Canis lupus familiaris: one gene and its partners. The main gene of each other region encodes a partner of the protein of the gene in region 4 in a complex. Links are inferred from orthologs where the notes say so. Each region holds a gene or a part of one and is shown on either strand. Other genes may lie near its edges. The genes, in order: BAZ1A, CHRAC1, POLE and POLE3.

What was found.
Region 1: POLE3 (region 4) and BAZ1A share a complex: the UniProt entries of both Homo sapiens proteins name them as parts of the CHRAC ISWI chromatin remodeling complex. The link is inferred for Canis lupus familiaris from reciprocal best matches to the Homo sapiens genes POLE3 and BAZ1A.
Region 2: POLE3 (region 4) and CHRAC1 share a complex: the UniProt entries of both Homo sapiens proteins name them as parts of the CHRAC ISWI chromatin remodeling complex. The link is inferred for Canis lupus familiaris from reciprocal best matches to the Homo sapiens genes POLE3 and CHRAC1.
Region 3: POLE3 (region 4) and POLE share a complex: the UniProt entries of both Homo sapiens proteins name them as parts of the DNA polymerase epsilon complex. The link is inferred for Canis lupus familiaris from reciprocal best matches to the Homo sapiens genes POLE3 and POLE.

The regions. Positions count from the first base shown.
Region 1 is NC_049229.1:13,853,046-13,860,769, reverse strand, and holds the start of BAZ1A (bromodomain adjacent to zinc finger domain protein 1A), read left to right. Parts: upstream 1-3,610; 5' UTR 3,611-3,749; intron 3,750-4,199; exon of another isoform or gene 4,200-4,271; 5' UTR 4,272-4,329; coding exon 4,330-4,442; intron 4,443-7,724. UniProt on the Homo sapiens protein: Regulatory subunit of the ATP-dependent ACF-1 and ACF-5 ISWI chromatin remodeling complexes, which form ordered nucleosome arrays on chromatin and slide edge- and center-positioned histone octamers away from their original location on the DNA template to facilitate access to DNA during DNA-templated processes such as DNA replication, transcription, and repair.
Region 2 is NC_049234.1:35,772,429-35,780,156, forward strand, and holds CHRAC1 (chromatin accessibility complex protein 1), read left to right. Parts: upstream 1-3,472; 5' UTR 3,473-3,555; coding exon 3,556-3,702; intron 3,703-4,006; exon of another isoform or gene 4,007-4,079; intron 4,080-5,040; coding exon 5,041-5,167; intron 5,168-5,311; coding exon of another isoform or gene 5,312-5,376; exon of another isoform or gene 5,377-5,868; intron 5,869-5,874; coding exon 5,875-5,993; 3' UTR 5,994-6,545; downstream 6,546-7,728. UniProt on the Homo sapiens protein: Forms a complex with DNA polymerase epsilon subunit POLE3 and binds naked DNA, which is then incorporated into chromatin, aided by the nucleosome remodeling activity of ISWI/SNF2H and ACF1.
Region 3 is NC_049247.1:450,356-457,458, forward strand, and holds part of POLE (DNA polymerase epsilon catalytic subunit A), read left to right. Parts: intron 1-635; coding exon 636-777; intron 778-1,147; coding exon 1,148-1,228; intron 1,229-1,630; coding exon 1,631-1,675; intron 1,676-1,825; coding exon 1,826-1,918; intron 1,919-2,191; coding exon 2,192-2,346; intron 2,347-3,293; coding exon 3,294-3,435; intron 3,436-3,565; coding exon 3,566-3,646; intron 3,647-4,375; coding exon 4,376-4,483; intron 4,484-5,002; coding exon 5,003-5,113; intron 5,114-5,355; coding exon 5,356-5,441; intron 5,442-5,754; coding exon 5,755-5,874; intron 5,875-7,103. UniProt on the Homo sapiens protein: Catalytic component of the DNA polymerase epsilon complex. Participates in chromosomal DNA replication.
Region 4 is NC_049232.1:68,165,345-68,172,887, reverse strand, and holds POLE3 (DNA polymerase epsilon subunit 3), read left to right. Parts: upstream 1-2,342; 5' UTR 2,343-2,444; coding exon 2,445-2,510; intron 2,511-2,613; exon of another isoform or gene 2,614-2,630; coding exon 2,631-2,716; exon of another isoform or gene 2,717-2,720; intron 2,721-3,029; coding exon 3,030-3,148; intron 3,149-3,431; coding exon 3,432-3,604; 3' UTR 3,605-4,989; downstream 4,990-7,543. UniProt on the Homo sapiens protein: Accessory component of the DNA polymerase epsilon complex. Participates in DNA repair and in chromosomal DNA replication.

The DNA of each region.
Region 1 (7,724 bases), on a different chromosome or scaffold from region 4:
CATTATTATCTCTGATTATGAGTAATACAGCGTATCCCTTTATAATTTTAGCAGTTTGGGAAGGATTTGGAATGGTACTTTAGCTCACTTATAGATTCAGTGTGGGATGGGTATACAAGAAAACTAGATATTATCAAATCCAAGGGGAAAAGCACAGTGGTCTAGAGAAATTGGACAAAGAGTCAAGAGGCCTAGATTTCAGTTACTGAATTTAAGTTTCCTCAGCTTCAAAATGAAAGAATTAAGAGTTCCCAAAGGTTTCTTTCAGCTTTAAGTAATTAATTATTATGTCACCAAGCCACCTAAGCCTTTCTTAATCAATCAATAGAAAAAAGGAAAAGTATTCTAGCTCAAGCTTGAAAATACATTTTTCATAGATTTGTTTTTACATACATAAAGCAATGTACTTTCTCAAATATTCAACTAGTCTTGATGATTTAGACTAATATATGTCCTGCCTACCTAGGATATTTACATTTTACATTTAAGTGGGGGCAATTGATGTCTTCATTCAGAGAGGTGACTAAAGGAGAGTGAGGGATGCATCCTGAGACCTGTGAGGAAATGTTGGAACACAAGCTTTCTATTGCCTTTCAAATCAAGCCCCATTGATGACTTCATTTGGGACAGATCATTCGTCCTCCTATATTTACTTCTAATCTTTCTACTTCTCTTCTTGCATTATATTACTCAAGATCATTAGTACTCACACAATTCTTGTTTTTGTTGTATTTACATCATCTCTTTCCTAGAAGATGATTGTTCATTTTTTTAAAAGACCTTTCTGATTTGAGAAAGAGTGAGAGAGCACAAGCATGGGGATGGACAGAAGGAGAAGGAGAGGCAAGGAATCCCAAGCCCACTCCACACTGAGCCCAAGCCCAATGAGGCGCACTTAATCTTACAACCCCAAGATCATGACCTGAGCTGAAACCACGAGTCGGATGTTTAACTGACTCAGGCACCCAGGCACCCCAGATTGTACAATTTTTAAGGCCAGGATACATTTATAGTGTATTCCATGAGCTAGTAGTGTCTTAGCACATAAGAAAAGCCTGATAAATGTTTAATTAAATTGTTAAAAAATTAAAAGATTTTAATTTCATTTTTTATGTGATACTTTAATTTTCATAGTTTACAATACTTTCAATTTTTTCACACATGGTCTTATTTCATGACAGTATCCTTAACTACTTCCTGAAATAGCGATGAGCTTTTCATTCTCAAAAGCCTAGAAGTAGTAATAAAGAGTTAATCGTGATAGCAAAATATGAAATAAACATCTTAGGTAACTTTCAGTAATAAATGTGTAGGATAACTTTAAAAGAAGTATGATTTAGGTCTGCCTGGGTGGCTTATTCCATTAAGTGTCAGCCTTTGGCTCAGGTAGTGATCCTGGGGTCCTGGGATCCAGTCCCTCATCCAAGTTCCTGTTCCACAGGGAGCCTACTTCTCCTTTGGCCTCTCTCTCTGTCTCTCATGAATAAATAAATAAAACCTTTAACGAAATAAACAAAAGTAGTATTATTTTGAGGTAACTTAGTCTATCAATTTGATCAAGTAGTATAAACACATCAAAACTAAATTAATATGTTAATTATAATTTACTAAATATATATTATTGTGAATTAACAATGAACAACTGTATAACATTATTAAATATCACAAATCATTAAAATAAATGCTATGTATGTAACTCAGAGAATTGAGTAATGTTAGTATCGTAGTATTGGTATCAGCATATGGTAGTAGGGAAATAGTATTCTGATAATGTAGAATAAAATTTCAATTTTAAGTTAGTACTAAAAAGAATCCAATTATCTAAAAATCTGTATCTAATAAAAATAAAATCACCATTTTTGATCATGATTTTAACAAAATTTTAACCTCATCAAATAGTGAGCTCTAAGGCCCTGAGGGATGACGTATCGAAGTGTTGAATAGTGATTCACACATATTGTACACCTGAAACTAGTATTACACTGTATGTTAACTGGAATTTAAATAAAAACTTAGTGAGCTCTAAGAAATACAAATATGATATATTCAGGGAAAATTTCCTGTTTTTAGCTTAACGGATAAGCTGGGATTTTGGATTGTGAGAGTGATGCTTCATTAGCACTTGTAAATTTATCCATCCTCCATGTTCCCCCTTTGAGATTATATTTGTAGGTTCTAAATTTTTCACCTGGAAAATTAAATACTTTCTAGGTAGGGAATTTTAAATTGTCACTCAAGTACAAGGCCACTTTAAATGACTGCATAATTTTTTTTGAAGAGTTTATCCAGACTAAAGAATATAGTTGGTTCTGAGAACATTTCCAAGCCTCTGTGACTTCTATATTCAGACAGTAAAGTGCATCAATTTTATTAATGACTTTTAAAACACTCAAAACATATTGTCTTCCACAAAAATTCATTTTGCTAGCTGCCATAAAAGTACGTTGAAAGAAGTTAAAAAATTATAACTCTTGCAATTTGAACAGATTCCTCACATTTTTTTCCTATGTACAAATGTCCTTAATTTCAAGATAAAAAGATGATCCCACATTATAACTATAACCATTTCACGGTATTGGTAGTTGTGTCCTTTGTTGAATGGCCGTTCTTCAAACTCACTGTCTTACAGATTCATTCTTACATGTTAATCCACAAATAAGCAAACGTCAAGGGCAGTAGCAAAAAAGACCATTTTACACAAAGCTGGCAAACATTTGGAATCACTTGTAGTTTGAAAAATTCCTTTTAATTCAAAAGTCACATTTATTATGTGAATTAAAATTAGTTTCACAAATGGAAATTGTGGATATGGGAAAGTTGCTTAGGGGAAATTTCACTAGTAAATCCACAACCTTTAAAATTCTGTGTGATTGAATCGAATGTTGATACTTTGCAAAATGTTTTCATTGGCGTATCACAAATACTACTTTTTAAAGGTGTATTTAGTTTTTAGTTTCAAATATGTGGGAGTCCTACAGGCATGATGACATTTTCTAAAAAAGACTTTTTTGGTCTTTTCCTCTGCCAAGTCTTTGGCTGAGTTGCCCTCTTTAAATATTAACGAGAACTGCTGTCAAGAAAGGTATTTTCTTTTCAAGAAGGATGTTTACACAAGCAAAATATGTTTTTAGACATGCAAATTCTTTCTGAGGAAAATATCAAAATACTTTCTATTTTTTATTCCTCACTTCTCTTCCCATCTTTAAAATAAAAGTTAAATCTTAACTGGGCTCCTTCCCCCACCGTGAAGCCAAGCGATGGTGCCAGACTTGAAGATGAAGGCTTTACTTTGTTAGCCATGTGTTTATGCAAGCCCAGCGCCTTCCCTAGATCTCTCGGCTGATAATCTCAAACATGGAGGATGCTTCTGATTCTACACAAGGGGTTGCTCCATTAATTAATAATGTAGCTCTCCCAGGCTCTCCGCCGTCTCTTCCTGTATCAGTGACAGGCTGTAAAAGTCATCGAGTAGCCAATAAAAAGGTAGAAGCGAGAAGTGAAAAGCTCCTCCCAACAGCTCTTCCTCCTTCTGAGCCGAAAGTAGATCAGAAACTTCCCAGGAGCTCCGAGAGGCGGGGAAGTGGCGGTGGGACGCGATCCCCCGCGCGGAGCCAGGCCGTGGCAGCGGGAGAAGCGGCGGCGGGCGGCGCGGCGGGGCCGGCGAGAAGCGACCCCCCGGCAGGACACAGGCTCCCCTCGCCGCCTTTGTAGTGGAAAAGGTGGAGAAGTGGCAGTCGGCGTGCTCGCAGGTGAGGGGCTCCGTGTGGTCGTCGGGAGCCGGCCGGCGCCGACAGGGAAGTGTAGGCGAGCGGGGGAACAAAGCGGAGCGGCGCCGGGGTCCGCCCGCAGCGAGCTCCTCGCGGCGTCGGGCCGGCCGGCTGCGCGCCAAGCACGTTGCGAGCCCGAGGCGGCGGCGGCGGCGGCGGCGGCGGCGGCGGCGGCGGCGGCGGCGGGCTGGGAGCCGGCGCTGGGGGAGGGGGCCGCCGCCGTTCCCGCACCGCCCGCCCGCCCGCCCGCCCGCGGCGGGGCGTGCGGCCCCATTGTGAGCCGGCCGCCGGGCGTGCGGAGGTGGGGCGCGCTGGGAGGGCAGAGGCGGCGGCTCTGCGCGCTCAATACCCCAGGAGCGGCAGGAGCGACCTCGGCTCCGGTGGCAGCCGCGGCGCGTCAGTCACACAAAAGGCAGCCGAGCTTCCCCCGGCGCGCGGACTGGCCCACGCCGCGGCCGAGCGCTCCCCACCTTACCGGCTTTCCTTTCCCTCCAATTCTGATAGGGAAGCGGGGCCGACGCGGGCGGCCGAGGGTCCGGGTGAGCCCGCGGGCGGACGGGAGATGCCGCTGCTACACCGAAAGCCGTTTGTGAGACAGAAGCCGCCCGCGGACCTGCGGCCGGACGAGGAAGTTTTCTACTGTAAAGTCACCAACGAGATCTTCCGCCACTACGAGTAAGGGCCGGGCCGCGCGCGGGGGGTGCGAGGGAGTGTGGGGACTCCCTCCCCGGCGTCCTTTTGTCTCTCTCTTCTTTTCCTCGCCTTGGGCTTCTGGCGGGGCGACTCGCAAGTGACGGCTGGCCGCGGGCCCGCGTTTCCCGGCCCCCCGAGCCCGACCCGGGGACTGCGCGGGGTCCCCGGGCGGCGCGACCGGCTGAGGCGCGCGTGGGGAGAGCGGGCCGGGGCCGCGGAAGCTGGGGTCCTCGGCCGGCCGTGGGGACCGCTTCTAGCAGCCGCTGCCGCCCGGGAGCCGAGCAGCGGAAACTCCCCGCCTCGCCCCTCCCCGCCTCGGCCACACGCGCACTCCGGGGCCAGTTCCGGGATCCCCGCCCGGCGGCCGAGGGGATCCCCGCTCGGGTCAGCGGCACGGGGCCGCCGTCCCCCGGCCCGGAGAGGGAATCCCCACCCCCGGGGGCAGGAAACGGCCGGGCCGCGCTTGCTTCCTCGGTCGAGAGTGGAGCCTGACGTTGGGGCTGCCTTAGCGCGGGGAGGGGAGGGGAGGGGAGGGGAGGGGAGGGAGGAGGGGAGGGGAGGGGGCCGAGTTGAGACTTGGGGAAGGAGCCCCCACCCCCAGCCCCCGGCGGGCCGGGGGGCAGCGGGGTCCGGGACTCGCGAGCCATCACCGGCGGCCTCTCGTCCGGTGCGGCTAGGCCTCGGAGTGTGCGACGCAAGCCTAGTGCTCTGTCACCACCTCTTCTGGGTGACTAACTCCCGGCCCCGGAGAACTCAGCGTCTCCGCCTCCGGGAGACCTTGGTGAGGAAGAAGTCGGGTTCGGGCGGGGAGGGGGGGCGGAAGGGAGGGGGAAAAAGCCGGGCACTGGGCGCACTTAGTTATCACTTTGGCGTAGCCCCAAGGGCGGCGGTGGGCGTAGGGGGAGGGGGTTAAGACAAGTTCAACTCCAGCCTCAGCCAGTCTCCTCTTTTTATCCCCCTGCGCATGTGGGCTGCCTGACATGTGCCACTCGCTATTGTTTTGATAAGAATCCGGAGCTGCTGCGTGTGTAGTTTTCACTCCTAAATTTTCAGTACCTCGCCTGGTTTATCCCAAGAGATCCACTTGTCCTGTGACACCGAACACTGGGGTGCTTTAGAGATGTGTGTTTAAACAGGATCTCCAAGTGAGAACCTAAATTGGTCGATCAATGAAACAGCCTGATCCTCCCTTTTTCTCGTGCGTTATCCTCCCTCTCCGCTCAGAAGGGGGGTCCCTTTGTGGCTTAGAAACCAAATGTTATAGCAACCAAATAACTTGTGTGTGGGAGGCACCTTATTCTGAGTGGGGGCTTACTCGAGGGAGGGCTTTCAGCAAAGTCCGCACCTGTCTGAGAAACGAGCAGCGAAGTTAGAAAAATCAGTTCCTTTGAGCTTTTAAAAGTAAGGCTTCTTTTTCTTCAGCTCCACAGAAAGAGTTACACATAAACATGTTATATCGGGAGAAGTTTTTCAGCCGACTGTACTTTTAAAATAGGAGTGCACGTCTTAAATCTACTCCTGTACAGACTTGTTTTGTTACTCAAATAGAGTTCACTCTTGTAACTTAAGTGAATTTGGATTAGGTAACTTGACAAGGATGATGCCTTTTTTTTTTTTTTTAAGTTTAAGTTAAAATCCTTGGTAATAATTCCCAATTTAAAAAAAAATGGTATTTAAGAGTGCCAAGAAAATAGAAAACGGGGTTAAGTTTCAAACTTCCCCTTTGGCATAAGCAATCTTACCTTTTTAAGAGACTTTTCCCACTTTAGAAGGGCGCATGAATATGGCTGTATCCCTTTTGAATTAAACTTTTTGTATACTTTGGTTCTTGATTTACTATAATCATGGAGGTATCTGAAATGCCGAAATAAAGGAAGAGATTTTAGATATTCCACCTTCTACTAATTAAGAAACTGTGTCCTTTGTAGTTTTATAGCATTAACAAAGTTCTTTTTTAAATAGCTGTTTTTTTGGGTTTTGTTGTTTTCCCTGTGATGAAGTATTTGGGTTTTTGGAATTTACAAGCAGTTCAGGAGAGGCAGTTGGTTTAGGAGCAAAGAACAAAGGAGAGCTACTAGTGTTCTTAGGTGTTAATTTTTGTGACTTTAAATTGGCAAAAAGGGAAGAAGACTGACATTTAATTGTGTTAAATTTTGGTTTACTTTTTCCCTCTTAGATGATTACAGAGAGATCAAAATTGTATTCATGGTTTATGGTATGGTGATCCTTGGTATTATGGTAATCTGACCCTTGGCACAAGTCTGGAGAAGGAAATCTCTGTTTTTATTCATTAGCTCACCAGTTGGTTTATGTGAATTTGTTTGAAGATTATCCTTTAAGGGCATTATATGAATATTTGTTTTTTGTATTGGGGTGAAGACCACTGTGCTCATCTATTTGCTCAGGTTTTTGATTTCTGAATAGAACCTTTCTACCTTAATCAATCTCAAAGGGATTTTCTACACCTCCCTACCTTGTTCCCTTTGCAATACAATGCAAAGTATAACTTTTTCTTCTGACTCTGGTTAGTAGAAGTTTGCCAGTGACCTTTTAATTGTTAAATAGTTTTTTGTCTTTATCCTACTTGGTGTAATAGCCTAGCGCTTTCTCCTTTGTCCTAGGCAGCAATGATCATCCCTCCATTTTATCTAGTGTAAGATCAGCTATTACTACATAGTAATGCAATACATTATTGCCTCAATTTTTCTCTTTTCCTAGACCCTGAATTTTTTGAGAAAGGGACTGTGACCAGGATAGATCCTTAGTGGTTATACAGTACAAACTCCTTTTTCTGTTTGTTTGAACTACATGTTCTTTAATTACTAACTCATGTTTGACCTGCTTTCCATAAGTAAAGAAGACTCATTAAAAATAGCACATTAACTGTAGGTAAATGCATAAGCTAAAGTACAGAAGAATGAAACTGGACCACTGTTTTTGTGTTATACACAAAAGTAACACAAAACTCAAAATAAGTTAAAAGACTTGAACATAAGACCTAAAACTATAAAACTCCTAAGCAGTAAGCTCCTTGACACCGTTCTTGGTGATGATTTTTTAATCTGACACCAAAAGCAAGAGCAATGAAAGCAAATTGAAACAAGTGGGACCATCAAATTAAAAAGCTTCCTCAGGGATCCCTGGGTGGCGCAGCGGTTTGGTGCCTGCCTTTGGCCCAGGGCGCGATCCTGGAGATCCAGGATTGAATCCCACGTCGGGCTCCCAGTGCATGGAGCCTGCTTCTCCCTCTGCCTGTGTCTCTGC
Region 2 (7,728 bases), on a different chromosome or scaffold from region 4:
CATGAGAAACACAGAGAGTGAGGCAGAGACACAGGCAGAGGGAGAAGCAGGCTCCCTGCAGGGAGCCCAGTGTGTGACTCGACCCCAGGACTCTGGGATCAGGCTCTGAGCCAAAGGCAGACACTCAACCGCTGAGCCACCCAGGCGTCCCTAGCCTTCACCTTGTAATGACATAGCACGCACCAAGTGCTAAAATCACTAGGTCATTATGGCTGAAGGCAGAGGGAAAACTTTCTAAATACTGCAAATGTCAGTAAGCCGGGTCATCTGTGACCTCTGGTCTTAGGGTCCCCTCCTCAGGAAGAACAAAGAGCAGTAAATTTCAAAACGTATGAGACTTGCACAAACATGCTATACAAGTGTACATTTTATATTTTGTAATCACTACCCAGGTGAGGGACAGAATCTGAATCAGAAAGCTGGGCAGCCCAGGTGGCTCAGTGGTTTAGCGCCGCCTTTGGCCCAGGCTGTGATCCCTGGGTCCCTGGATCGGGTCCTGTGTCGGGCTCCCTGCGTGGACTCCGCTTCTTCCTCTGCGGGTCACTCATGAATAAATAAATAAAATCTTAAAAAAAAATCAGAAAGCTTACACAATACTTTGTATTTCCCAGTCTTTTTTTTAATGAATTTTTAAAGATTTTATTTACTTATTCATGAGAGACAGACGGAGGGAGGGAGGGAGGGAAGGAGAGAGAGAGCGCAGCAGAGACACAGGCAGAGGGAGAAGCAGGCTCCATGCTGGGAGCCCGACGGGGACCTGGGACTCAATCCCAGGTCTCCAGGATCACGCCCTGGGCCGAAGGTGGCACTAAACTGCTGAGCCACCCAGGTTGCCCTAATTTTTTTTTTTTTTTAAGTAGGGCAACACGCCCAACGTGAGGCTTGAGCTCACAACCCCAAGATGAAGGGTCACATGGTCTATGCCTAGGCTGGCCAGGCACCTTTTTCCATGAACTTTGAAATCCAAGTTGATTTGATCAGGGGGTGAAAAGAACTTGCCACATGAACACTGAAACCTTACGGGGTAATTTACTTTTGGAGGGTGCTTTACAGTTCACAAAGAGCTTTCTCATTCCCATCCCCTTTGCTGCTTACCACTGACTAGGAGGGAGGTAGTGGCGGGCAGAGGGTCACTGACAGGGCGGGGACTTCGATCTTTATATGCTAGGCGCTTTCACACCTCCTAACCCCAACATCGGAGTACTCCCATCTCTGTAAATGAGGAAACGGGTTCAGCACTTGCTCTGCCTGGGGTCACACTGCTGAGTGGCAGGACAGTCCTCCCACTCTACGTCTCAGCTCCATCCAGTGGAGCAGCTTCTCCTTTCAGAAGAGCCTTTTTTTTTTTTTTTTTTTTTTTAAGATTTATTTATTTATTCATGAGAGACACAGAGAGAGGCAGACACACAGGCAGAGGGAGAAGCAGGCTCCATGCAGGGAGCCCGATTCAGGACTTGATCCCAGGACCCTCGGGTCATGCCCTGAGCCGAAGACAGATGGGCTTCCCTGCTGAGCCACCGAGGTGTCCGTCAGAAGAGCTTTTGACCGGCTTCATGGACACCCAAACTCTTGGTTTTCCTTTTATTCAATGGTCAGTTCCTCCCGGCCTTCCTCCTTTGCTGGATTTTCCTTCTCTCTGCCACTTTGAAATGCTGCGGTGGGACTGTTTCACTCCATCTACACTCTTCTCCTGAATGCATTCATTCAAGGTCACCGTTTTAACTACCTAGACAATGTGTGCAGGCTGAGAGAATTAGGGCCATTCAAGTTTAACATTGGCCCAAGTACAGCCATTGTAGCTTCGGTAGCCATCTCCGGCCACTGTGACCAGGCCACTGTGACCAGGTCCTGAATCCACCTTACCCCAGCTACAGTAAAAAACACAAAGCACGGCCTTATTCGGAATAAGGAAGCAAGAGCTTGTGAGACCTCTTTACTGGAGATTCTCACACATACCCCCCCTTACTGAAAAACCCCACCTTACCCCTAGAGCAGTCCATAAAAACCCAGCTGTAACACATCTTGGGGTCCAAGTCCCTGCTCCGCTGTGTTGGGTATACTTGGACCCAAGCTTGAGCTTGCTAATAAACCCTCGTGTGTTTGCATCGGTGTTGGCTCCTTGGTGGTTTCTCAGATTTGCAATCTTGGGCGCAACAAATGTTGGTTCCTAAATTCCGGTTCAAAAAATTAAAAACAAAACAAAACAAAAAATTCGGACTCCAGCTCAAATTCCAGGGTCTCATGTCCAATTTTCCGCTCAGCACCACCACTAGTGTTTGGCAATTAAAGCTTAACGTCCTCCAAACCAGACCTCTCCCCAAAGCTGCTCCTGGGGCAGTGCTCCCCATCTTGGCACGTGGCACCGCCATCCCGCCCCTCATTCCCATCCCACCGGCAGGTCGTGGTGGCTCTAACCTCGGAGGTCTCTAACCCGAGTCCTGCCCGAACCTTGGAGGTTTCTAGCGTGAATCCTCCCCACACCTCGGAGGTCTCTAACCCGAGTCCTTGCCTGAACCCCGAGGTCTCTAACCCGAGTCCTGCCTGAACCCCAGAGGTCTCTAACCCGAGACCTCCCTGAACCCCGGAGGTCTGTAACACGAATCCTCCCCACGCCCCGGAGGTCTCTAACCCGAGACCTCCCCGAACCCCGGAGGTGTCTAACCCGAGTCCTGCCCGAACCCCGGAGGTCTCTAACCCGAGTCCTTCCCAGCGCCTCACTGGGGCCTGGCAACAGCCTCCTCGCCGCGCTGCTTCCCTTCTTGCCCCCCCCCCCCCCCCGCGCCTCCTTCCTCTCCCCAGGGCTTCTGGGCTCACTGGGAAGAACTCCGAGATCCACAAAGCCCTGGCTGCCTCCGACTCCGTTCTCCCAGCTCACCGCCCCTTAGCCACGCCGGCATCTCCTCCCCGCCCCCCGCCCAAGTACGGCGTGATTCACGCAGGACTTGAACTCCCCGCCCCGAGCTCAAGACCTGAGCTGAGGATGCTCGGCCGCCCCGGGCACACCGCAGCTTGTCCGCGGCCTCCGCCTTCTACTCTGCCCCCCGCTCGCACCCTCCCCGCTCCGCCCCGCGCCGCTCACGGCAGCCAGAGGGATCCCGGAACTCGCCCGACAGATCCCTTCGGCCGCTTCCCACTTAGAACAAGAGCCAGCAGAGCCGAGGCTCCCTCGCAGTCCTGCTGCAGCACACCGGGCTCCCGGAGCGGCTCCAGCCCTGGGCCTGCGCCGGCGTGGACCCCGCCGCGAGGCAGCGCCTTCTCGGGGCCCCCCGCCCGGTATCTCCGCGGACCCCGCTGCGCGATCGCCGCCGAGCCCCCGGGTCCCGCACCGCGCAGGCAGGCCGGCCCCCGGCGGGAAGCCCCGCCCCCGCCCCCCGGCGCGCGGCATCTCGGGATTTGTAGTCCGGCCCCGGAAGGGCAGGCGCCCGCCCCCGCGGCCGCGCCTCCCCGACACTACAACTCCCACGGGGCAGCGGGACGCCGCTCCCGCACCCTCCAGGCCGGCAGGCCGCCTGCCTCGCGGCGGGTTCGGCGGCCGCCGCGGGGCGGGGCGCGAAGATGGCGGACGCGGTCGCTGGCAGAGACAAGTGCGGGGAGCCGCGGCTCGTGTCACTGCCCCTGTCCCGCATCCGGGTCATCATGAAGAGCTCGCCCGAGGTGTCCAGCATCAACCAGGAGGCGCTGGTGCTCACGGCCAAGGCCACGGTGAGGCGGGCCGCGCGGGAGGACGGAGGGGCGGGGGGCCGCCCGGAACCGTCGCGCCCCCCTCCCGACCCCCCCCACCCCGGCCGCGGGGCGCGCGCCCTCCGCCCCGCCCGCCGTCCCCCTCCTCCTCCTCCTCCTCGGCGCGCCTTCCGCCCACCCACTCGGCTTGCCTCGCTGCCCCGCGCAGCTCCCGCCCTCCCCCGCGCGCCCTCCGCCCCGCCCACCGCGCGCCGCTCCCGCCCTCCCCCGCGCGCCCTCCGCCCCGCCCCCCGCTCCCGTCCGCCCTCGCGCGCCTATCGCCTACCCGCTCCTCCGTCTGCGGCGCCGCGCCCGGCCCGCGCAGCTCCCGTCCTCCCTTGCGCGCCCTCCGGCCCGCCCGCCGCGCCGTTCCCGCCGTCCCCCGCGCGGGCCCCCGCGCCTTCCCGTCCCCCGCGTGCGGCCTGTGCCTTGGGTTTCGGGTTCCGGCGGCTCGGGGGAGGGGGCGGGGCCTCCCGCGCCTCATCAGCGCCCGTGGTACCTGCGCGCGCCCAGGTGCACCTGCCTGCATCTTAGCGCCCCGGGCCCTGTGTCGGCTGCGGTTCTGCCCGCGCGCGGTGTCCCTGGGCTCGGGCCTCCGCCGCTGGGGGCCGGGGGGCTCCGTGCTCCCGGGGTCCCGGGGATCTTCCTTCTGTTTCCCGTTAAAGGGTAGAGTTGAGTGAGCCCTAGAGGCCCAGAGCCCCCGGGCGCCTGCGTCACCCGGACATCACCCGCGCCTTCACGCCTCCTTGGGTTGAGAGCCCCGGAGGGAGAGCGTCCCCAGCAGCCTTGGCCTCGGGGTGCTCGGTGTCCCCGCCCGGCACGTCCCGCCTGCGAGGGTGAGGGCGCGGGGCGCGGGGCGCGGGCGGGCGCTAGGACCCCTCCCTCCCGGGCCCGGAGGGCGTTAGAGTGAGGAGCGGTGACCTCGAGGCTCCAGGCTCCGCTCAGGCGGTTGCTTTAGGGAAGGTGTTTGGGCAAATGGGGAAACGTTGTAGGGAACCGGCTGAGACGCGGTGCTCGAGGAGAAGGCCGACTGCGCTGGGTCAAGGAGGCAAGTTGGGAGTGGACCGAGCTGCAGTCCTTGCACACTTCCAACCCACGGCTGAATGCCTGGTCAGCGTTTTGCCTGCATTAGGAATCTAAAATGGCTTTAGGGCAATGCCTGCTTCCCCACCGGCTTTGACCCCCGCGGGCTTCCTGTAACTGGAGAACCCAAGATAATCTGCAGTCTGGTCACCTAAGCCTTAATGTAATTTAAAAAATTAAGTTCTGCGGTAGGTTTTTAGAGCATACCTTTCATTTTACTTTTTCGTTTTGTTTTAGGAACTCTTTGTTCAGTATCTAGCCACCTATTCCTACAGACATGGCAGCGGAAAAGAAAGGAAAGCTCTCACCTACAGTGATTTATCAAACACTGCAGAGGAATCGGAAACTTTTCAGTTTCTTGCAGGTACTCAGTCTTTGAGACATTCTGGTTAAAACATACATAGTAATTTACACCTTTTTTTTCTTTCCTTCTATTTTTTCTCCTGTTTTCACTGAAATAGACAATTTTTTTTTTTTTTTTTTTTTTTTTTTTTGCTGCTTTCTCCAGGTGCCAAAGTTTACCATGACCTGGCACAGGAAGACATTTGTAGTTTTGTCAGAGTATGTTTGTAATGTGGTTCACCTAGAATGGTAACGAAGTCAGCAACCTGCACAGGGATGTTTGGCTGGGTGGCTGGGTGGCTGGGGGAGCCTGGCTGACCCACCCCTCAGACTCCTTATCACTGAAGGGAAAACTCTGGGCTGGTCTACGTGGCCCTAAGAGCAGAGAAAGTAATAGTTGTGGACAGGCTGTGGGGGCCACAGCTGTAAAGAGCTTCCATCTGCCTCCGAGGCCAGTCGGCATGTCTCAGGTAGGTGGGCAGACTTGCTCATCACCAGCACATACAGGAGCACATAATTTGCAGTCCGTGGAGTGGAAACAGGTCTTTGGCAGGAGTCAGGAGGCAATACTTGTTTCCTGCTATTTCACCCAGAAGCATGGTCGGAATTTTGTCTTGTTTTGGAAACTGTTCTAGAGTTCAAAGCAGAAACTAGCACATTTTGAAATTTGCATTGCTGTGTTCGTGGTCTGCCAAAACCAATTGCTGATGTTAGCTTTATATTTTTAAGATATATTACCAAAGAAGATTTTAGCTAGTAAATATCTGAAAATGCTTAAAGAGAAGAGGGACGAGGACGAGGAGAATGACAGCGATGATGGGAGTGACGGGGACGAAGCAGAATCCTAGACCAAACAGGAAGTGCTTTAGAAATCACCCTGCTGAGGACCCTCCTGGATTAGCAGCATTGCTTGGAAGTAAGCACAGCGCTGTGTGACTTTAGACTCCTCACTTCTCAGAGACTTCAAGTACATTGGATTTCTTCCTGGCTAAGATAGAGCACCTGTTGTGCCCACATCACAAATGGCCAGAAGAAAAGTGACCCAGACAGCAGCCTCTCTGAGGGGCCCGCACTGCAGTTCGGGGGCACAGAGGCACCAAGAAAGCTGCCTGTATGGTCAGGCACTGCCAGTTGATCTGCTGCAGCTGAAAGCTGTGGAGGCAGACAATTTTGCTTCACTTTTTAATTTACAGATGATAGATTTTGAAGAGCTTCTAAATACCAGTTGTATAAATTCATAGATGTATATCTGGAAATTAGTTCTTGTAAACAACTAGATGTAGTTTGAGCTAAATACATAGTATATGGGTAGTATGTTACATTTGAAAATTTAATGATTTGTTCAAATACTACAATTTTATTAACTGTAAAGAAATAAAATTTCTTTATTAGAAGCTGTACATAGTTTTAGTCAATGCTTTGTGGAACTAGTTTTGGAGCTCTCTATTCTAATGTCTTGCATATTATCTGAGAAGTCTGCAAAATTTAAAAATAAGCGTTTCTAATACTTTCATTCTCGGAAGAAAAAAAACTCAATTAAATCAAATACGAAAAGAAATATAATCTCTGTATAAACATATTTCTCTTAAAAACATTTTATTTTTTTATTTTTATTTTTTCTTAAAAAACATTTTAAAACATGTTGTATATTGAAAATCTCTCAGGGCGCCTGGGTGGCTCAGTCAGTTGAGCATCTGCCTTTGGCTCAGGTTATGATTTCAGGGTCCTGGGATCAAGTCCCACATTGGGCTCCCTGCTCAGCAGGGATCTGCTTTTCCCTCTGCCTCTGCTCCTTCTCAAGTAAATAAATAAAACTTAAAAGAAAATGTCTTATTTTACTGTTCCTTTCTTTATACTCAAATTGTTTTTATTCTTCACAGAGAAAACTACAAGCCCTATTTTTTTTTCCCCCACATAGGGTAAATTTTTGGCTGTTTTTTTAGTCTCTCTCTCTTTTTTTAAAAAGTTGAATTAGGGCAGCCTGGGTGGCTCAGCGGTTTAGTGTCGCCTTTGGCCCAGGGTGTGATCCTGGAGACCGGAGATCAAGTCCCACTTTGGGCTCCCTGCGTGGAGCCTGCTTCTTCCTCGGCCTGTGTCACTGCTTCTCTCTCTGTATGTCTCTCTCATGAATAATTAAATAAAATCTTAAAAAAGTTGAATTAATTTTACATCCAATAAATCATCCTTTAATAGCCAATCTTTTATGTAAATATCAATATATGGGACAGTTCCCCATCACCCCAAATTTTCCCCTGTACCCCTGCAGTCCCTTCCTTTATCTGCAGGTAACCACTGATACTTTGTTCCTCTCGTTTTAAAATTTTTAATTTTTTAAGAAAATCTTCACTTCAATATACAGTTTTGAGCTTTGACAAAACCAGTTCCACAACCACAAGATTCAACAGTTGTATCACCCCCCAAATTCCCTCTTGGTCAAAGTCATTTCAAACCCTTTACCTTGGCAACCACTGAGCTATTCTTTACCCATGTGAAAGTTCACAAACTTTTTCTGGAAAGGGTCATAGAGAAAACATTTTAAGATTTGGGGGGATAATAACCTGTCACAGCTGTTGACCTGTGCCA
Region 3 (7,103 bases), on a different chromosome or scaffold from region 4:
ATTGGGATGCCCCCAGATATGGTTTTCTTTTTTAAAATTCCCCTGGCTATTCGGGGTCTTTTCTGATTACACACAAATCTTAAAATAATTTGTTCTAACTCTCTGAAGAAAGTCCATGGTATTTTGATAGGGATTGCATTAAACATGTAAATTGCCCTGGGTAACATTGACATTTTCACAATATTAATTCTGCCAATCCATGAGCATGGAATATTTTTCCACCAGAGAGAGAATCTTAAGCAGGCTCCATGCCCAGTGTGGAGCCCAGTGTGGGGCTCAGTCTCATGACCCTGAGATCGTGACCTGAGCTGAGTCAGGCACAAGAGTCAGGCACTTAGCCGACTAAGCCCGTGGGGTGCTCCTGTGCATTTTAATATCTTATAAGGCAGCAGTGTCTTGCCATGATGGTTATTTTTATTAGTGTTCTGGTTACAGAGTTGCATAGGTTTTGAGGCTCCTTCCCCAGTCATGGTTCCTGCAACTTCTATTATTTTAATGAACTGTTTGGCCAAGGCTTTTCAGGGAGGCATCTACTATGTGGCATCCAAAATGCTTACACTGGGTGAACTGAGGGTTGCGGGAATAGATAGTGTCATGATCGGTGAAGACAGAATTTCCTTTCTCCTTTCATTCAGGGATGATGGCCTCTCCTCTTCTGTCTCAGCACTTAAGCGCCTGGAGCGCAGTCAGTGGACAGATAAGATGGATTTGCGGTTTGGTTTTGAGAGACTCAAGGAGTCTGGGGAGAAGACGGGCTGGCTTATCAACATGCACCCTGTAAGCACCTGGGCAGTTGCACTCTCCTTGTGGCTTAGGCCTTTGAAGAGTGGGTAGTGCAGCTGGAGATGGGATTGTTTGTAGCTCTCCTCCTTATTTAATGTCACTGGGCTGTATAGAGGTTACTGGGAATATAAAACTGAGGGGTGTCCCTGTTAACCTATAAAAAGTTTTCAAAGATGAGGGAGAGATTGAGAGAAATCCTCATTTGGAAGATGTGGTATGGTTCTTTGTGAGTAGGGTTGGTAGTGTTTATGTGGGGGTGGAGAAGGGTTTTGTTTTTGTGCTCAGTTTCCCAGAGTAGGAGCAAGAGGGTTCTTGTACTGCATAGAGGATAACCTTGTGCCCGTGTTGACTCATTCTCTCACAGACTGAGATTTTAGATGAAGACAAACGCTTAGTCAGCGCAGTAGATTACTACTTTATTCAAGATGATGGGAGCAGATTTAAGGTAAGCTCCTGAACCCCAGGCAGCTAAGACCCACTCAGTGATGAGGTATAGGTGGGGTCCAATATGCCAGGTGTTCATTTATCTGGGAGGAGAGGGGTTGGGAGGCTTCTAGTGTTCAGCTGCTTGAAGCATGTCAGGGACATGGACCCCTTGAAGCTACATGGGTCACTATTTAAGATATCATAACCAGCTTGGAAAGACCGAGATTTTGTTTGTCTCAGACTTTCGCTCCTGCCATATGTGCAGGTCCTAATTCCTGACTGTGTCATCTGGTAAAAGATGTCAAAGTCAAGGACACGTCGGATCTTGGCTGCTTGTGGGTATAACTGCAAATAGCCTGTCTTCACTTTTCTCCCTTTTTTTCTTTCTTATTGCCCCTGAATGGGTTGGTGGCTCTTGCAGGTGGCCTTGCCCTACGAGCCGTATTTCTACATTGCAGCCAGAAAGGTAAGTCTGTCGTCCATAGAATTAAGTCACATGACCTGTGCCTCATTTTATAGGGGGGGCTTCAGAACTGAAAGAGGCCTCTAGAGGAACATACAAGGAAAACAATAGTTTTTACTAATAGGAAGTCTTTTCATTCTGATCTTGATTTAGGGTTGTGAACGAGAAGTTTCATCTTTTCTCTCCAAGAAGTTTCAGGGTAGAATTGCTAAAATAGAGACTGTCCCCAAAGAGGATCTAGACTTGGTGAGTATCACCTGGACCTTCCAGGGTAAATGAGGCTGAGTCTACCCTGCTCCTGGGGTGAGATGGGAAGAAGCCAAGTTGAGCACCTATGCGATGTGACTGTCTATATGTCTTCTTAGAGAATTCTAGTGGTATAGAGTTGGACAAGATGCTTTGGACTTGCCAACTCTTCTACTTGTGTATTTACTTTTGAGTTGTTCTCCCTTTATTTTTTTACCCCAAATAAAGTCCTTTTTCTCTTGAACTCATGAACACAATCTCATCACTTTCTAGCCAAATCACTTGGTGGGTTTGAAGCGAAATTACATTAAGCTGTCCTTCCACACTGTGGAGGATCTTGTTAGAGTGAGGAAGGATGTCTCCCCTGCTGTGAAGAAGAACCGGGAGCAGGGTCATGCTGGTGATGCCTACACAGCTATGCTGTCCAGGTAAGCCTTGTAAGCAGAGCAGCTAGGCAGTCCACAGGACTGTTTTCCCATTTTTCATAGGTTGACAAGATGAATAGGAAGCAGGAATGCTCAGCAATGAAGTTAGCCTTAAGGCTCTGTTCAGTGTGGATACACTTGCAAGCAATTAGGTGGAATTTCTTTTCTTAAAATAAATTAAAATTATTTATGAGAGCAAGGGAGCAATGGGAGAGAAAGAGGGAGAGGAAGAGAGAGAATAATAAGGAGGTTCCACATCTAGCACAGAGCCAGGTAGGGGACTTAATTTCTGCATCTTGAGGTCATGACCTGAGCCAAAATCAAGAGTCAGACGCTTAACCTAGCCACCTAGGTGCTCCAGCCTAGGTAGAGTTTATGTGTTGCATTTGTGTTAAATGATTTCCTGGGTTGTAGTTTTAACTGTGCCTCTTTCCTTACATAGGGGTGGATTTCTGGCTGTGATAGTAAGGACATTTTGGATTCCCAGTGACACTACTTTTTTTTTTTTTCCTTTTTAAGATTTATTTATTTGAGAGAGCGAGCAAGAGCTAGTGTGAGCCTGGGGAGAGGCAGAGGGAGAGAGAGAATCCCAAGCTGACTCACCGCTGAGTAGAGAGCCTGATGTGAGGCCTGATCCCAGGACTCTGGAATTATGACCTGAGCTGAAGGCAGACACTTAATCCACTGAGCCACCTAGGCACCCCAATTTTTAAAAATTTTGACTTACATTTTATAAGACACATGTCCTAAGTGTGCATAGAATTTCCTCTGTATGGCCTGCTGCTTGTGGGAGGATGTCATCCAAGGCCATTCTCTAAGAAGAGCCTCTTTGGTCATCTCTGCCACCTTGATTTACCTTCTGTGTTTATTCCACATAGATTCTGGTCTTCCCTCTTTTTTGACCCCTAGTAGGGTATAGTTGAATAAGCTGGCCTCTCTTTGTTTTGCAGCGTTCTGCAAGGGGGCAGTGTGGTTATTGATGAAGAGGAAGCCTCTAAGAAGGTCACTGACCAGTTGGACAATATTGTGGACATGCGAGAGTATGATGTGCCCTACCACATCCGCCTCTCCATTGACCTGAAGATCCATGTGGTGAGTGGGCCATTACTTTGGGCAGCCGGATGGACAGTCAGGAGGTGACCCTGAAAGGATAAATCTGTAGAGATACACACCTCCCAGGACAGATGCAGAGCTCTTTATTAACGTGCTGCATGTCCTGCAGGCTCATTGGTACAACATCAGATACCGAGGAAGTGCCTTTCCTGTGGAAATCACCCGCCGAGATGACCTTGTTGAACGACCTGTGAGCACTGCTTGCATTTCCTCCATCCTGACTTTTCCACTTATTTCTGGAGAGATCTCATTTGGTGCTGAAGGATGAATTTGATTCAGACTTGTTTTTCTTTTTCCTCAAATACTTTAAAAAGTTGCAGAAAAATATTTTTTTTGGGGGGTGGTCAGTTTCTGACCGAGTATAATTTCATTCTGTGCTTACGTATCACCATATGATGTCTGTGTTTGAACTGGGCTGGATCTGAACATTTGAGGGAAAGCTCTGACTTCCATTTTGAGTGGTTGATGGTGAAGTGTTGTGGTGAAAAGTGAATTTATAATTGGCAGACCTTGATTCAGGATGGCTTTATGTTCTTGGGCAAGTCTGTACTCTGTTTTCTCATTTCCAGAATGAGAAAGCATTTCTACCACCATCTCCTATCTGGATTATCATAAAGGGGTCATGCATTTGCATGCACATCGAGACTCAAGTGTTCTGTAATTCTAGGATTTTCCTATCATGCTCCAACCTCTCATATATGTTTAAGTCTTCATAACCATCAGTGAATCATAGAATTCTTGATATAGGTCAGTCAACCCCCAAATGCCTGTCTCACTTCTTTTGGAACCTCTCCCTGTGGCAGCTCAACTCTTGCTTTTAGCAGCTGGAGGTGGAGGGGTGGGTGTTGAGATGACCATTGGGGTCTCTGGAGCTCGAATTGGTTTATGTCCAGCTTAACAAGACATCTCATCCCTGCAGGACCCTGTGGTTTTGGCATTTGACATTGAGACAACCAAACTGCCTCTCAAGTTTCCTGATGCTGAGACTGACCAGATTATGATGATTTCCTACATGATTGATGGTCAGGTAAGTGGTATCTTTTGGGATTTAAGCTTCCTAGGAGCAGGAACCTTGTCTGGTCCCTAAACCAGAGCAGTATCCACACTGTGGTTAATATATTTTGGGTGAAGGCAGCCTGGGTGGCTTAGCGGTTTAGTGCCACCTTCAGCCCAGGTTGTGATCCTGGAGACCTGGGATGGAGTCTCACGTCTGGCTCCCTGCATGGAGCCGGCTTCTCCCTCTGCCTGCCTCTCTCTCGTGTGTTCTCTCTCTCTTTCTCTCTCTCTCTTATAAATAAATAAATAAAATAAAAAAATACGTGTGTGTGTGTATGGTGAAAAATTAGTGAGTTGAGTTCAAGAAAGTGAACAAACAAGCCATACTCCTTCCTTCCAATACAAATTTGAGACACTTGGTGCTCTTCTTGGGAGAACTGGGGGCCTTCCCATTGCTGCAGATTCCTATGGTAGGGTCTTCTGCACCAAAAGTATAGTGTTTTGGCTTTGTGTGTCCTAACTCGCGCTGACTGGCGCACGCACTTTCTAGGGCTACCTCATCACCAACAGGGAGATCGTTTCAGAAGATGTCGAAGATTTCGAGTTCACCCCCAAGCCAGAGTATGAAGGACCTTTTTGTGTCTTTAATGAACCTGACGAGGTAAAGAGGTATTCCTTGGGAGACTGCCTAGTATTTGGGGTGAAATGGGAGGAAGAGGCACAACCCAGCAGTGTGCTGGACTGGATATTGAGTGGTGTGGTCCTCATTCACATTGGTGGCACAGGGTGAGTGTGAAAATAGTGACACGAGGTCCCTGCTTTTCCTAAACTTGGGGAGGGGTGCTTGGAAATAGCTCAAAGAGAAACAGAAATTCTCTGACAGCTAAGAATCATTGAATTCAGGTTCATCTAATCCAGAGATGGTTTGAACATGTCCAGGAGATGAAACCCACCATCATGGTCACCTACAATGGGGACTTTTTTGACTGGTAAGTCTGATGTCTTCTTTGTGAGTAACTAAAATGCGTTTGGGAGGGGATGTTGCACAGTGGTGTGAATATACCGCTTACTGCTGCCGAACTGTACACTTACTTACAAGTGGTTGAGATGGAAGGAAAGTGTTTGGGAGAGAAGGGAGGGATAGGAGGAATGCCACTTGGTGGCCGAAGAGGCTCCTTGTATTTTGAGGAGAAGTGTGGGGCTTCCTGGCTTTGCTTAGGGGTGTGCTAGGCGCAATCTTCTTGTCTCTGAGGGACTGAAGGATAACTGCCCATGTGCTTGTCGGTCTTCCCTTATCCTTAGGCCGTTTGTGGAGGCCAGAGCAGCAGTCCACGGACTAAGCATGTACCAGGAGATCGGGTTCCAGAAGGACAGTCAGGGAGAGTACAAGGCATCCCAGTGCATCCACATGGACTGTCTCAGGTAGGCCCGGCAGCTCATCGCACTATCTTAGGAGGGCCTTCTGTGACTGGAATCCAAAGCTCCTTTCTTGCACTACTGGTCCTGTTCACCTCCCTTTGAGGAAGGGGCCTTCTGAGAAGCAGCAGCCATCACCTTTGAGGACAGTGGCTGGGGCTCTGGCTAGGTCCAGGAATGTGCTGTCTTCATCATGTGCTCTTATTCCTTCTGCCAGTAAACATGTTAGCATTGGACCTGCTAGGGAAGCCAGAACAGAAAGATGGCCAAGTAGAGTAAGGTCTTGATGCTGTGAAAGCCCCCCACAAAGGTGGGGGTGCAGCAGCCAAGGATGTCCACACTGGAGATAGGCATTTGACGGGGCTCAGGGTGTTGAGAGGAAGGCTGAAGGGAAAGGAGGTTTTGTGGGCCCCTGTCCCCTGTGGGGAGGTGAATTTTGGGGAGCCATTGACACACTTAAAGTTTTATCTCTTTCCTCTGTAGCCTTGGCATTACCGTGCATGGGTTGGAAGGGGCAGGCCAAATCATAATTAGGATGGGAGTGAAGAGGGATGGACTTGGGGCCGGGGGCCTGTGGTCCTGTGGTTTGCGGTGGGCTTCTGGGCAAGGAGCACGTAGGTTCTAGGTGTAAGCAGGCCTGGGAACCCCATTCCCATGGGGCATGGTGATCAGCGGTCTCTGAGGAAAGGACGTAAAAGGATGGTTGGGGGCTCTCAGAGGAGGTGGCAATACTGGGAGGCCCCAGGGGGCATTTCTGAAGACAAGGATGGCAAGAGTGTGGAGGCCGAGGGAGGTGAGACTCGATGCAGTCAAGAGACAGCTGTGAGTGCTAGAGACCTAGCTGTGTCAGTCATGGGCTGAGCCATGGGGAGGATGTGGAAATGGGCACAGGGTGAGGGGTGTAGGGTGGCTTCCTGTTTCCATGCTGAAGGGGTTGTGTGAGGAGAGAACAGGAGTTTAAAACTAGGGCCTGGGGGCGGGGAAGAGCACAGCAGACTAGCAGCACCCACAGGAGAACCCGGAGAGGTTGAGGGAGGCCGGAGGTTATGGGTTCCCACTTGCTCATCTTTATATTTCTTCATGAGGGAGAAAGGGAAGCCATGGGGCTCAGAGGACTGGCCCTGGCATGTCCTCGTGTTTGTGGGCACATGGATGAAGCCAGCTGGATCTGGGGGAAAGGCTTCACGGGAGGCCAGGGCCTGCACTGTGTGGGGTCTTAGTGGAGATCTTTGGGG
Region 4 (7,543 bases):
AAAAAAAAAATACCCAGCAGAAACCAATGGGTTTGCTCAAGCACCAAATCAGCAGACTCACAGTCACATCAGAGGCCTCTGGCTTTCCATTTACTGGCTGTATGGTCGTAGGCAAGTGACTTCAACTCTCTCAGCTTGTTTCCTCATATAAAGAGGGGAAGAAAAATCCCTAAAGCATTAAGAGAAATAATATATTTTTACGTATGATATATAATATAGGATCAACAAACAGTATCATCTTTCTCTCTCTAGAAATATTTTAGGCGATCACTACCACCTGATCCCTAATAACTTTTTTGTTCCTAATAACTTTTTACGGACAGTATCCATTTCTTCTTCCTTTTATCCAACACATTTACTGACTACCATATATGTGATGGGACCTGTAACAGGCATAGAGAACAGTAATGAACAAAATAAGTCCTTGTTCTCAAGAGCTTATAAATTAGACCAAAGAGAGCGCAGCATTGGCATGGCATCACAGCTGCCCTATGACTTGTTTTGCTTGGCCTGCACTTTGAATCTTTTTTTTTTTTTTAAGTGGAGATAGTCCACGGTGTTCAGATTTCTGGTTCCTCTTAAAGATCAAAATATATGACATCACGGCTCACAGTTCCAACTATACAGCAATTGGAGCTGAGAGCCTCCTGGTATCTTTAAACCAGACCTGTTACATCCAAATGGAGTTTCCCCCACCAAACCCTATAATCTCTAACTAATCCAGTTCCAGTTGCTCTTTATCATCACGTTTGCTGGTGTTTTTCTCCTAATAGGGAAGTATTTCTCTGTACTTATGTCTCTGTCAAAAGCTGGAAAACTGGGATGCCCACCCAGTTGGCTCAGGAGGTAGAGCATGTGACTCTTGATCATGACTCTGTGGTCATGAGCTCCAGCCTGACGTTCCCGGTAGAAATTACTCAAAATAGGGATGCCTGAGGGGGCTCAGTGGTTGAGCATCAGCCTTTGGCTCAGATGGTGATCCCCCGGGGCCTGGGATGGAGTCCCACAGCACCAGCCTCTTACAGGGAGCCTGTTTCTCCCTTTATGTCTCTGCCTCTCTGTGTCTCTCATGAATAAACAAGTAAAATCTTAAAAAAAAAAAAAAAGAAAAGAAAAGAAAGAAGAAAAGGAAAGAAGAAAGAAAGAAAGAAAGAAAGAAAGAAAGAAAGAAAGAAAGAAAGAAAGAAAGGAAGAAAGAAAGAAAGAAATTACTCAAAAATAAGTAAATTAAAGACAGCCCAGGTGGCTCAGCGGTTTAGCCTGCCTTGGGCCCAGGGCGTGATTCTGGAGACCCTGGATCGAGTCCTGCATCGTGCTCCCTGCAGGGAGCCTGCTTCTCCCTCGGCATGTGTCTCTGCCTGTCTCTCTCTCTCTCTGTTTCTCATGAATAAATTTAAAAATATATTTTTAAAAAAAAAAGGTAAATTAAGGGTGACATAAGACAGCACATTTTACGGGGGAAAAAAAAAGCATTCGAGCTCAGGGAGAATGAGAATAATTTCTATGCAATGATGCAACCTAAAAGCCAGTGCAACACCATGCTAATGATGCTTGCGACTGGGAAAGACGTATTATGCACAAGTCAACGAAGTAAAAGACACACAGAAGGCTGAGGGTTTGGCTCTGAGTGAACGCAAGGCCGCGCTCTCCTCCTGGGCGGCCCGAACCCAGGCCCGAGGCGAGCCCCGCCCGCGTCTACGTCCCCAGCCTTAGCGCTGCGCCCGCAAAGGAGTTTGCGTGCAGCACTTCCAGGCGACGGTTCTCCGTACTGCGCTTATGGCAAAGCTGGGAGGGGTGAAGAGCTCCAAGACGGACATCAGGTCCCGCAGAACTGAAAAAAAAAAAAAAAAAAAAAAAAATTTTTTTTTTTTTTTTAAAGATACCCGCTTCGCTCCGGTACCGCAGAGCGGGACAGCGGGCCTCGGGCGGCCGGGAAGCCGAATCCGGCCGCAAAGCCCGACGCCCGCGCCGACGCCGAGACGCGGCGAGGCCCCGCCCCGCGTCGGAAGGAGCCCCGCCCACGCCTCCGTCGCCCACGCCCGCCGTTGCCAGGCAACGGCGCAGAGCACTGTGGGGAAGGGACGGAAGCTCCGGTGAGCCATACTTGAGCTGAAGGAGGAGTCTCTAGACGTGGCGGCGGCCAGCAGCAGGGGCACGAGCCTGGGAAGGGGCCGCTGGGTCCCCGGGGGGAGGCCGGACGAGAACCCGGGAAGGCCAACGCCGTAGCGGCGTGCAGAGTTCGGACGCTCGGGCGACTCGAGGCGGGGGCGGGGCCGGGTGCTGAGGGAGGCAATGGCGCGCGGGGCACTGTGGGACGCAGCGTGGGCCCCGGGGGGCGGGACGGAAGCCTCCTTGGGTCAGCGCGCGGCGACGCGGGAAGTCCGGACGCCGGAGCGGCCTGGAGGAGAGGCTCGAGGCGGAGGCGGGCCGCGGCGCCGGCGGCCATGGCGGAGAGGCCCGAGGACCTAAACCTGCCCAATGCTGTCATCACCAGGATCATCAAGGAAGCGGTGGGCAGCCCCGGCTGGCGGGTGGGCGCGGGGCGGACGAGCCGGCAGCGGGGGAGCGGGTCCGGGGTCCGGGTCCCGGGTCCCGGGCCGCAGCGTTACTCACCCGCGCTCTTCTCGCAGCTCCCGGACGGTGTCAACATCTCCAAGGAGGCCCGCAGCGCCATCTCCCGCGCCGCTAGCGTCTTCGTGCTGTACGCCACTTCCTGGTGAGCCGGGCCGGGCGGAGCCGGCGAGAGCTCCTCTGGGGCTGGGGCTGGGGCGGGAGGGAGGGAGGGAGGGAGCCGCACAGACCCCCCCCCCCCCCCGTCCGGTCCCCACTCCGCACCCTGGAGTCGCGAACCCCCAACAGGTGGGCCCTCCCGCGGTGCGGCGGAGGTCGCGCCCTCGTCCAGGGCTCGCGAGGTCTGAAGCAAAATAAAACGACCCTTTTGTGCAGGGAAGGGGAGGGACGCATCCGAGCATCCCTGACCTAGGCTTTGCCCTGCCCCGTTTCACGCCCGAATCTCCCTTTTGTTTCAGTGCCAACAACTTCGCGATGAAGGGAAAACGCAAGACGTTGAACGCCAGTGACGTGCTCTCAGCCATGGAGGAGATGGAGTTCCAGCGGTTCGTCACCCCCCTGAAAGAAGCTCTGGAAGGTAACGTCCCTCTGCTCTGTGCGGCCGAGGAGATGTCCGTCCCGTGTGACCGGCTCACCTGGCCGCGCTGAGCCTTCGCAGCTGGGGTCTGCGTAGGAACAGGAACCGAGTATCTGGTTGCGACTCGGAATCCGTTCGATGGGCGCCGAATCTGATCTGATTTGTGATGCCGAGCAGATTCACTGTTCCTTCCCGGCCCCAGCTTCTCCGGTTGTGCAGCGGAGTTGGCTGCTTGCGGTGGGTTTGGTCCAGCCCTGCCTGCTAACCGCCTTCCTCCTCACAGCGTACAGGAGAGAGCAGAAAGGCAAGAAGGAAGCTTCCGAGCAGAAGAAGAAGGACAAAGACAAAAAAACCGATGCAGAGGAGCAAGACAAGGGCAGAGATGAGGACAACGATGAAGACGAAGAAAGGCTGGAAGAAGAAGAACAGAACGAAGAGGAGGAAGTAGACAACTAGTGGGACGGGAAGACGTTGGCACCTTGGCAGGTACCGCCCTGAAACGTGGTGCGGTCCTGAGAGGCTCTTTCCCTGCTGGGGAGAGTGGGCCTCGCCAGAAGAGCCTGAGAAGATCAAAATAAAAACTGACTAAAATGACCAAAACCAGCGCTTCCGTCAGAGCATCTGAATAGCAGAGTCCCATTTTGCTAAGTCAGTTCTGAAGGTAATGACTTTTTGACGAGAGGGATTCTGAGCGGCTAAATTTAATTAGTCGATTTGATCTCTTATTACTTATATATGTGGTCTGGCAGTTTTTTGGTCCCCATCCATCACCACCACCACCACCACCCCCAAAAAAAAAAAGTAATAATGATTTCCATGCTGCCTGCTGTGTTCCAGGTCACAGAGGCAGTCAAAGCTCAGGAAAAATTGGGGCTTTTGAGCATGGTTGGTCTGTTTTGATTGTATAGGATTTGGCAGTACTAGCTTGTTATAAGTGGTTGGGATGGTTTAGCTTTAGGAAACTACTAAAAGGTTATGGGGGGGAAATGAAATCTGTTGTCTTTTCACTTGGCGTTAACATTGATTGAATTTTTATTTCTCCAGACCCACTTGGCGTGGAGCTCCTCTATGTTGCCTGGTAGGCATTTGACCTGCTGGGGTGCTGTCCTCTGGGTGCATATGCTTCTAAATCATTAGTGTAAAGTGGAACTCGTCAAGCACGTGTGCCAATATCTTACCCCCCCCTCCAAAAAAAACCAGACGGTTTAGTCTCAGATGCACCTCATTGCCTGCCACTCTATGGCTTTAGGATTTATGGTCACCTCCTGGAAGGTATAAAACCCCAGGCTTTTTCTTCTCATAGTCCATTTCCCAGGCTTGTGACTTTTGTTTTTCATTCTTTAATTCATGACGAATTCCAAACTTTATTTCTTTTAGGCACAACTTTCTCCCTCTTGCGTCTCCCTTCCCTGTCTCCCTTCTGCCTCTCCTCTGTTCCCCATTCCCACTTTCTTCCTCCTTTTGTCACATCTCCCAACCCAGGATCTTTGATAACCTGCTTAATGTCCCAAAGTGCAGAAATCTGATGGTGCTCAGGAATCTAATCCCTACTGCAAAAAAATCCATCCCCTTTAACTGCTTCTAAAGTAATTCTGTCGACCTTTCTCAGAGTTGTTTTTTTGTTGTTGTTGTTTTTTTCTCTTGATATTTGGTGCTCCAAGCACTTTTTTGTTTGTCTCTAAGTTGAGCGCTTGGAGGTTGACAGATAGTCAAATGTATGTAGTTTGACACTGTTAATTTGTTTAATGAATATAGTCAAGAGTTTGTTGACAAATAAATGAAGAATGTTGAGGAAAATTATAATGCTTTGTACAAATAAAGAACATTCTTGTTAACAGTGATGACTCCTGTTTCATCTTGCTTGTTTATACTATACTTTGGGGGAGGACCCTCACTGATCATCCCTATATGGTTTTTGGAAGGTAGACTGGGCCAGGTCTTTGTAAATCTGGGATCCTGCATTGCCTTGGATGACCAGCAGATGCTGCTCTTCGACCACGACAAGAGCTTTTCTATGGCTCTGCTGGGCACCCTATGGTTACTAGTTGCTTAATGACTCCATATTTATCGAGTCCCTATTGTGTGTTTGGTACTGTCCTACATGCTTTCAAGTATGAACTCTGAAATCCTATAAAGGAGAACTTTTACCTTCATGATGTCAACCACAATGCTTTATTACCTCTAATCTACATAACTTTCAAGTCACGAGTTTATAAATAACATTCCTTAAACTTGCAAACCCAGGAGTCATTAGATCTGGTGGCTTTTTCCCTGTCCACAGCAGAAACATCCTTTCCTAATTCCCATGAGCATCACTCAGCTAAGTTCTCAAGTCCCTTCTGGACTCCTGTGGCTTCTTTGAACTGTGTCCTGCCACCTGTCTGCTGCCCCCCAACTTCCCCCAAGTACTGCTTGCCAAGTGGATCATCCTGGAACATTGCTATGTTCCAGGCCCTCACTGCTTCCATTTAATCCATACTTAAACCTGGTACACAAAACCTGCTTGAGGGCTTGCCTCACCATCTATTCCAATCTGTCTCTACCACCTTGTAAGTCTCCAGTTAATGCATCCCCCAGAAGAACTCTCCACATGGCTTTAGGTCTTCCCGAACTTTGACTACCTAAGAAAAAAAGCATATTTCCTGGGAATGGGAATTCTGACTTAAAACCACAGAATTTAAGAGGTGTCTGGGTTGCTCAGCTGGTAGAGCCTGAGTCTTGACCTCAGGGTAGTAAGTTTGAGCCCTGCACTGGGTGTAGAAATTTTTTAAAAATTTTATTTATTCATGAGAGACAGAGACACAGACAGGGAGAAGCAGGCTTCCCGCAAGGAGCGTGATGCGGGACTCAATCCTGGATTCTGGGATCATGACCTGAGCTGAAGGCGGATGCCCAACCACTGAATCACCCAGGCATCCCTAGAAATTACTTTTTAAAAAAAAAAAAGGAAAAATCTGAGGTTATCAACTAGTTTTTTCCAAGCACACCTTTAACATTCCTGTGGTGGTATCTGAATTTTGAAGGTTGCTTAACTAAGGTAAGGCAAAAATCTCATCTTTTGTAAGCCACAACCCTTCATGCCTACAGATTCTGATCTAGATTTGGAGGGTGGAAAGGTTACCATTTTTACCAGTGCAAAATTACATTTTCAGGGGTATCTGAGGGGCTCAGTCAGCAAAGTGTGCAACTCAATGTCAGGGCTATAAATTTGAACCCTATATCGAGTATAGAGATTTTTTTTTTTTTTTTAATTACTGGGGCCCCCATGTGGCCCAGTTAAGCATCCAACTTCAGGTTCACTTTATGATCCCAGGGTCCTGGGATCCAGCCCTGCATGGGGTTCCCCAACTCCATGGGGAGTCTGCATCTCTGCCCTTTCCCCCACTTGTGTGTGCGTGCTCTTTCTCTCTCAAATAAATCTTTTTTAAAAATTTACTTTTAGGGCGGCTCCAGTGGCTCAGCTGTTTAGCGCCACCTTCAGCCCAGAGTATGATCCTGGAGATCCAGGATCAACTCCCACATCAGGCTCCCTGCATGGAGCCTGCTTCTTCCTCTGCCTGTGTCTCTGCGTCTCTGTGTGTGTCTCATGAATAAATAAATAAAATCTTTAAAAAAATAAGAAATTACTTTTGCAACCTAATCCGATTTTTGCCAATGAGAAATTGAGGCTCATCAGAGAGAAGTGACTTGCTCAAGATCTTACCACCAATTTATTTATGAAAGCTAGGATCCTATTCTAGCGGCCCTGTGTGTGACTTTGTTTCTATTTCTTTCTCTTTTTTTTTTTCTTTAATGAACTTTTTTTACTTTGGAACAATCTTAGTTTTCAGAAAAGTTGCAGAGTGCAGAGTTCTCATGTAATCACCCAGCTTTCCCTCATGTTGACATCTTACATAACCAAGGTACATTTGTCAAAACTGAAGAAAAAACTACCAAATACCAAACTACTTGTATTTCACCAGTTTTTCCACTAGTGCCCTTTTTAAAAGAAAACAAAAAACAAAAACAAACAAACAAAAAAAAACCTAATGCCCTTTTTTGTTCCAGGATCCATTCCAGAATACCACATTGCATTCAGTGAACCGATTTTATCTTTTTTTTTTTTTAAGACCAGGGTTTTTTTTTTTTTTTTTTTTTTTTTTTAGATTTTACTTATATGAGAGTGAGTGAGCAGGGGGAGGGGCAGGGGGAGAGGGAGAGAAAATCTCCAGCAGAGTCCCTGCTGAGTGTGGAGCCTCCCCGCCAACACCAGGCTGAGCTACCACCCTGAGATCATGACCTGAGCCAAAACCAAGGGCTGCTGCCCAACTGACTGAGCCACCCAAGTGCCGCCCCCATTTTATCTTTTAATTGAGATGAAATTCACAGAACATAAAATTATATGACCAATGTGGG